Solanum lycopersicum: one gene and its partner. The protein of the gene in region 1 interacts with the protein of each later gene in a pairwise test. Links are inferred from orthologs where the notes say so. Each region holds a gene or a part of one and is shown on either strand. Other genes may lie near its edges. The genes, in order: nuclear cap-binding protein subunit 1 and nuclear cap-binding protein subunit 2.

Region 1 (3,824 bases):
GATAGATCCCGACCTTGGGGTTCAGCCACTGTTCTGTCTTTATGTAGACCCCAAAAAGATGTATTCTCGTTGAACTCTTGCCGTCCTTTTAAAATGGTCCTCCATAGGCCACAACCGTTGGGAAGTGGGGCATTTTTAGTCCTCCAACCCCCCTCTAAAGCCCCATGCTTCTCCACAATTTCTCCAAAAAGCATTTACCTCTACCCAAATCTCTATAACCGCTTTCCTAGAAGTGCCTTGGCATAGATTCACTTTCCCTAACATGTATAGAATTTCTTGCCATGTGTACACTTTCCTAGAAGTGCCACCGTAATGTGGAAGGCCTGAATGTTCTTCAACCCTCATCCTTTACAATATTCCAGAACTGCTGAAAGAATGTTAGAGTGAAATAATCAGGTCCCAAAGCTGTATCTCCCGTATAACTTTCGATTGCCTCCTTCACCTCCTCTTCTTCATCACTCTTTTTAGTCACCCCTCTTTTCTTCCCCCTTTTGGTTAAATTCTAAATCCCCCAATCTAAGCCTCCATTCTGATTTCCGTCTCCTCCTCAAAGGGAAAATATGATCTAATACCACACAAAATGGTAGTGTCAGTTACCTTTTTTTCCCTATAAATATGAGCGAGGGGATTACAAGGTGGGGGATTGGCCCCATCCATCTAGGCGGAAGCTTGGTGAGGATCGGACCCCCACCATCAGGATTAACATGTTGCCTTAGCCCTTATTTCCCCGGGCAATCTTTATGTTATTACTGTATTTCTTTGTTACAGAGAATCTGTATAGGTTTATTTATTTATCTGGCTATTGTCACATCAGTGCTTGTGCTGAGCAAGAGTTCATATTTTTATTCAGTGTAGGGCTATTTGAAATTTAAAGAACTTCTTGTATTATGATTCCCACTAGTCGTCTTACAAGTCAAGATTATTGGGTGTTGGAAAGAGATAGGTTTCAAGTAGAGTTAAAAGGATGTATAAGATCCATACAACTGACTTAAGTAGCTCTGGGTGGGGTATATTTGGTTAATTGCACTATCAATTCATTAATTGGGATATTTTGCATTTCATGGTTATTATTTCCGCTTATTAAATTGTTCTCGTGTTTTCATTTTCCTTTTTTATAAATGTTCTATTACTTTGTTTCCCTCCTCCTCTCTGCATTTACGACATCTGTCCGTCTGCAGATTGGCCTTTTGAATTTGGAAAATGAGGAATTTGTCAGGAAATTAGTGGAGAGCACTCAAATTAATTTACAGGTCAGCAAGCTCCAATATTTGGTTATTCTTGAGCATTGGGAATAGTGATCTTGCTTTTTTTTTTTAAAAAAAGATGATCTTTTGTAGTAAATGGAAGTGGCATTTACCTTGATTTTGCATCTCTAAACTCCATGTCTGTTACTGGATACAGCTTAAGTCTTGTTACCCTGGGGTTATCTGCTACATTATTGTTTTTTTACACTATAAAAATCAACTTGCCAGACACATCTAGATTCATTTGTTTCAAATTTTCTTCTTGCTGTTTCTCTATTAATGCAGCAAAATGGTGCTAAAATATTTAGAATATGGTACACAAAGGCATGCCCAGGATATGCAATCTTTGGGTTCCTTTAGTAATCTCAAATTAATTGACGATGATAACTGGGTTCAGAATTAAATATTTATACATTTTTAGTGGATGTTTTAAAACACATAGTGTATGCGTAAAAGCTACTAGGTTACTCCTAGTTTTGGGCTTAGAGAGTTCTTTTGCTTATATGCTTTTGGCATTTCCATCTCCTTTGTTGAAGAAAGTGGTGTGAAAGGAGTTAAAGGAAGTTCCATCAATGTTAATTTTGTTGTCAAATTTGTAACATCGGCTTGTATTACTCTGGATGAGATGTCCTTTTGATAATTGCTATTTTCCTTCGTTTCAGGATGCGTTGGAGACTGGACAGTGCAACAAGATCCGTATATTGATGAGGTTTTTGACTGTTTTGGTATGTTCTAGGAATCTGCTATAGTTTTTCTGTTCTGATCTTATTGAGTTTGAAAACTAAGTGGTCTGTGAGCAGGGTGTTTGGTAGCCTTTTGGTTAAGGTATGGAGATATTTGGTAAAAAATGTAAGTATGTGTAAAGTATATTTACCAAAGTTTTATCATCTATGATTCCGTTCTTTGTGGGTGAAATTGTCCCAGCATTCAGAACATTCCTCAGGACCAAGTTCATTTATAACCATAATTTGTATCCTTCTCTCTCTCTCTCTCTGTAACTTTGTTATGATTTTATTAGGATTGAGTGCAACATTCGAACATCAAAGTGACTATTTTTTTTTATTAGGCTCGCCCATGAGATTATTTTCATCAAATTGAGTTCATTCACTTCTTTACTCAGTTTCTGCTTTACCTGAAACCTTGCATCACATTTGCTTGTGTCCTCACAGACAGTTTTGAGTATGATCTGATGCCGCTAGTTAATTGGTAGTTGTTAGTGAAGTTAATATATTGTTTGTGTTGTTAGATGTGCAGCAAAGTTATCCAACCGAGTGCATTAGTGGTTATTTTCGAAAGCTTATTATCATCAGCAGCGACTACTGTGGACGAAGAAAAAGGAATTCCCTCTTGGCAAGCACGTGCTGACTTCTATATTACTTGTATTTTATCGTGCCTTCCTTGGGGTGGTGCTGAACTTGTTGAGGTAACAATATGCACTTGATCAAAATGCCAAACCTTTATAGTTCTTGCCTGCAATTGGGTGACGAGTTCTTATTTTCCCTGCTTGTACTTTTTTTGGTTATTTTCTTTTTTCTTTCACGAGCCGGGGCGAAAAAATATGGATCTTAGAGATTCATCATAGCAAAGCCTCTTTGCTGGTTTACTGTACCCAAAATTGTAACTAAGCTTGAACTGCACATTGGGGTTGGCAGATTGGCAATATGAGTAGGAACTAGAGAACTTTATCCAAAAAAGGAGTCAGGTAAAAGATTTATGGCAGTATCCCGAGTAGATTGGCATTTAGGCTTACTTGATTGATCTCAAAATTAAGACATCTGTTACAAGGGGCAAAGTGTGGGAATATATTTCTATTTCTGTTGCTTACACTTATAAGTTCATTACACGGACTTTCCTTTTTGACGTAGTATAGATTTCATCACACATTGAATTAGGGTTATACTGTTGATTATGAGTATATACTGCATGCTTGTAGATGCCTGGAGTCATGATCATGAAGGCTTTAAGGCTTGTGCCTCAGCTTATTTTGTATTATTATTGTTGTTGTTATTATTATTATTATTGGTATTGTATTTTTATTACTGTTACTATTATTACTGTTTTGATGATAGCTGAGATATCCCTGAGGTCAATGACGCACAGTTCAAAACTTGGTGGATAATGAGCCTGCCCCTCCTTGCTTCTCCACTTTATCTGTTACAGGTTTTGAACCGTGACACTTGCCTAATTCACAAATCACGCGTGCGCTCTTACCATTAGACCAAAAACCCGGAGTTTTTTGTATTATTTCATCGTCTTTTGCTTGGTTCTTTCTGTCAAATTACTTTTTTGTTACGAAAACTTAAGTCCGAGGAGTAACTCAAAGTGTCTTGAAGATTGTCAACCATTTTTGGTTTTTGTGCATTCACAGTGAATTTATGTATTTTATATGTCTGTATATATTTTCTGGTTATATTTGTGGTTCTCTTGTAGTTGTGTAATGTGCCAATTTCTTCTATTCCTTTACTAAATCATGTGCTTGCTTTCTTCTTATTTACTTCATCTTTCTCAGCTAAAGCTGAACTACCTACCTCTCATGTCAATTTTCAGCAAGTTCCTGAGGAGATTGAAAGGGTTATGGTT
Region 2 (3,824 bases), on another chromosome or scaffold:
TTCCTTTCTCTACCAAATTGTAGGTGAATTTCCTTTGCTTTAGGCCTCTTCACTCTTGTTTCTATAATGCCAATAACCCTCCACCTTATGCTTTAGCAGAAAAGAATTCATCTTTTCTGCTTGTAGGGCCTATTCAGGCCTCTTATGTTCAAAGATGTGATTATCATAGGGGTTGGGGTGGTTCAATTGATGTAATCCCTTTGAAACCCTCGGAAATTGTCATCTGCATCTGTTGCTCTGTATCTTCAATTCCAGGAGTAGCTTGTGCACTGCTCTCCTAGTGGTCTTCTGAATTCTAAGGGGTGCATTGGGTGTAGCAGCTAGGACCTCATAGTCGATAAGCCCTCTGTGTTTGTTAGTATCAATCTGCACTTGCTCCCCTTCGTCAACCTTCACCAAATGGTGGTACAACTTGTACATCCACTGCCTTCGACTTCCGTTTTGCTTTCTCTTCCCTTTTCTTCCTGTGTACAGCTCGACTCTTGAAAGGCATCAAGCAATCGATATAGAAGTGTCCAAATTGACAACTCTCTGGACAGAACTTTGTCAGCCATTCATATTCCACATCCTGTTCCAACATCTCCCATTTTTTTTTTTTGAGAAGGTAACAACTTGTATTTTGTTCCAAAACCAAAAAAAAAAAGGACCTGCCACAACAAGTTACAGGTTCCTAATTACAATTGTGGAGAGGACCAGGAAGATTTATAATCCTATAGCAAAATTTACAAGGAACCGAAAACATCTTTGACTGATTCTAGATCTACCGTGTCCTCCTGTTTACACCAAAAAAGAAACAAAACTAAGCAGTTCATCTTAATCTGCTGGATGGAATTGCTCTTGTTATGGAAGCATCTGAGGTTTCTTTCTTTCCACACTGACCACCAGATGCAAGCCGGAATGATTTTCCATCTTTCTTTATGCCCGGTAATGCTTGCATAACTGCTCCATAACTTCAGAGTCTGCATAACTTTCCTAGGCATAACCTTTTTCATGTCCTGATTGATAAAGACATTCCACAAAATGTTGGTTATTCTACAGTGAAGGAAGAGATGGTTGACAGTCTCTACTTCTTCTTCATCACATAGTAGGCACCTAGAACTCAGTTGAATATTTCTTTTCGTAAGATTTTCCTGGGTCAAAAATGCCTGCTTAGCAAGGAGCCAAGTAAAACAAGATACCTTGTAGGGGATTTTAGTTTTCCATATCAACTTCCATGGCCACCCATTCCTCTGACTGTTACAAGGATTGATTTTTTTGTACGCTCTTCTAATACTGAAATTGTCCCGATTGTGATCCTGCCATCCCAGACTGTCTTGTGCATCAATAGTTCCTTTGAACTGCCCCAAGACCTTGTAAAACTCCACCAACCTTTTGATCTCCCCGTCGTTTAGAGGTCTTCTAAAGCTCAGATTCCACCCTTGGTTTGACCACATCTCCGCTACAGTGGCCCTTTGCTGCTGGTTTAGGGTGAAAAAATTCGGGAACAAGGTACTTGAAGATCCTTGTTCTAGCCATCTATCTTCCCAAAAAACATCTCCCATTCTGTTTCTCAATGTTCAGCTCAATTGGGAGGGGCTGGGTAATGTCGATCTCGATCAATACACAGTGTGGGAAATTCTTTAACTGTGAGCTGTTAGCTTATCAGTGTATTCAGGTTTTACCCAAAAAGCTCCCAATTCAAACCAAGTTCTCCTCTGTCCAATATTGTAGAGGCAATCCTGGGAATCGCATCCAGAGGGGCACCACTCTCATTGACTCCTTCCTTACCTGATAATCAGGAAGCCAATCCGTAAGAATCACAGGTCTATTGTGGAATGTATACGGACCCTCTCTGTGATTGTCATCTTATCCTCGAAGACTCAAATCTAAATATGAAATACCCATCATCATGTAGGAATACATTAGGTTTCAACACCATTCCAAACTCTGTATACAGAGTTCAACATCTCCTCAAAGTTAAAACATTGGATTCCCACCGATAGCATAACCAATCAAAGAACTTTACCTTTTACGACATTAACGGTAATTTCATTAGGATTAAGGTTTCACATCCTTAATTTCACCCTTCACACTGTGCGATTCTCTTTTTACTGCATCAGCCATCGGTGAATAAAGCACAGGTCCACCGGCTGAGTATGTGAGTTCCCTTTTCGCCATAGCGACATCGTCCTCCACCTCAGTTGGTTTTGCCACTCACGCAGCTGTCTTTGTTGGGGCTTGTTGAATTGCCTTTGTGCGCACAATTTTGATTGCAAACCAGTTCTTGTGTTCCCAACTCCAGCAAAAATTGGTCTAATTGAACTGATGGAAGCTTCTGGGAAATGCCTGTTTCTGGGGTGGCCATTTGGGTATCATTTTCCTGATTCAATGGTGTCTTTGGAATAGTTTTGAGGGGTATTTTTGTCAAGCCATCGTAAAAGTGCACGTTAGTGAACCTTCTTAACATGCGCTTTCAGAGCTTGGTTACTTTGCTTTGTATCTATATCTCTTCGTGAAGTTCTTATCGCAGACCTCACTCGTTCTAATATATGGGCCTTCCAATTTATGAGTTATAATCATAGCTGTCAGAGGAATGGATTTTTTGACATAAAATACTGCATCTATTAAGCACAATGTCTACATTCTGAATGCTTCTTAGAAAATCAACCGTGTATGGTCAAAAGAATTGTATAAGTTTGAGCATGGATAGATCTAGTTGTTAATGATCTCGGTTTTGTTCCGGTCCCTAAATTTTGAGCTGGCCATATTCTTCCCCTGGTTAGTCTGGTTGTGTTTTCCCAAATAAATGCTGTGAGTTTTCATTGTTCTATATAAAATCAGAGATTTAAGCTTTGGGAGTTTCTCTAACAAGAGATAAAGGAAGAAGAAGAGATTGAATTAACCACTTGAGGATTTCAAATTAAGCTAGAAATAGTTGATTTACTCGACCTTCATGCTCCACTGAATTTTTTCTTGCACTTCCAATAACTTCACATCATCCCAAGTTTATCTGCAGTTCTCAAACTGTTGATTTTGTAATACTGATAAAAAAAAATGTGGTACACTTGTTATAGACCTTTTCCTGTGTCTCTGTCATTGACTGATAAAAGAAATGCTGCAGATGGTAGACATAATGGTGGAAACCATGGTCGTGGAGGCTCTTATCGACATGGTAGAGGTTAGCTCTTCAAAGCTTTTAATTCAGTTCTAATGCTCTGCGTTATTGTATTTTTTCGTTTCATTTGAATAGATTAAAGAAATAGGAGTAACTCTTTATCTTACGTGGAAAACAGACTATCATCGCAAGCGACACAGGGAAGATGACCACCATCGGCCAGATTATCCAAAGAGGACTTATGAGCGTGAATCTAGGAGAAACTCTGATCATGAATCTAGACCGGTATTTTCTTTTATACTCTTTGAGCTGCAAATCCTTTTATCCCTCTTCGGTTTTAGTGAAACCTTGTTGTGCAGGAAAAGAATCCGCGTTTCCGTGAGAGTGGTGATTCTGATGAAGAGGATGATGATGATAGGAAGCGGCGTACCTAGTTGTTTCAGTTCATTGCTGTGTGTTACTTTATAAAAGAGTTGAAAACCTGCTCTTTTATGCTCTCATTAAAAATGTTGTACATTTAGGGAACGTATTTGCACCAAGGAGTTATCGTTGCTTCTGACTCTTGTTTTACCTTTCATTTATTAGTATTTTTCTGATGGTTATTGGAATTCTTCTTCTTTTTTTTTTTTTTAAAAAATAGTCTCTCAGCTTAAACTAGCCTTCTCATGCACAATTCAAATGTTTGAGGGGAAACATGGTTTTGTATCCCTTTACAAATATGTGTTTAGTT

Evidence for each region.
Region 2: the proteins of nuclear cap-binding protein subunit 1 (region 1) and nuclear cap-binding protein subunit 2 interact in binary tests that used the Arabidopsis thaliana proteins (3 or more experiments, as listed by UniProt). The link is inferred for Solanum lycopersicum from reciprocal best matches to the Arabidopsis thaliana genes ABH1 and CBP20.

The regions. Positions count from the first base shown.
Region 1 is NC_090809.1:717,628-721,451, reverse strand, and holds part of nuclear cap-binding protein subunit 1, read left to right. Parts: intron 1-1,178; coding exon 1,179-1,250; intron 1,251-1,906; coding exon 1,907-1,969; intron 1,970-2,490; coding exon 2,491-2,667; intron 2,668-3,791; coding exon 3,792-3,824. UniProt on the Arabidopsis thaliana protein: Component of the cap-binding complex (CBC), which binds cotranscriptionally to the 5'-cap of pre-mRNAs and is involved in various processes such as pre-mRNA splicing and RNA-mediated gene silencing (RNAi) by microRNAs (miRNAs).
Region 2 is NC_090801.1:50,429,310-50,433,133, reverse strand, and holds the end of nuclear cap-binding protein subunit 2, read left to right. Parts: intron 1-3,100; coding exon 3,101-3,157; intron 3,158-3,272; coding exon 3,273-3,379; intron 3,380-3,453; coding exon 3,454-3,528; 3' UTR 3,529-3,702; downstream 3,703-3,824.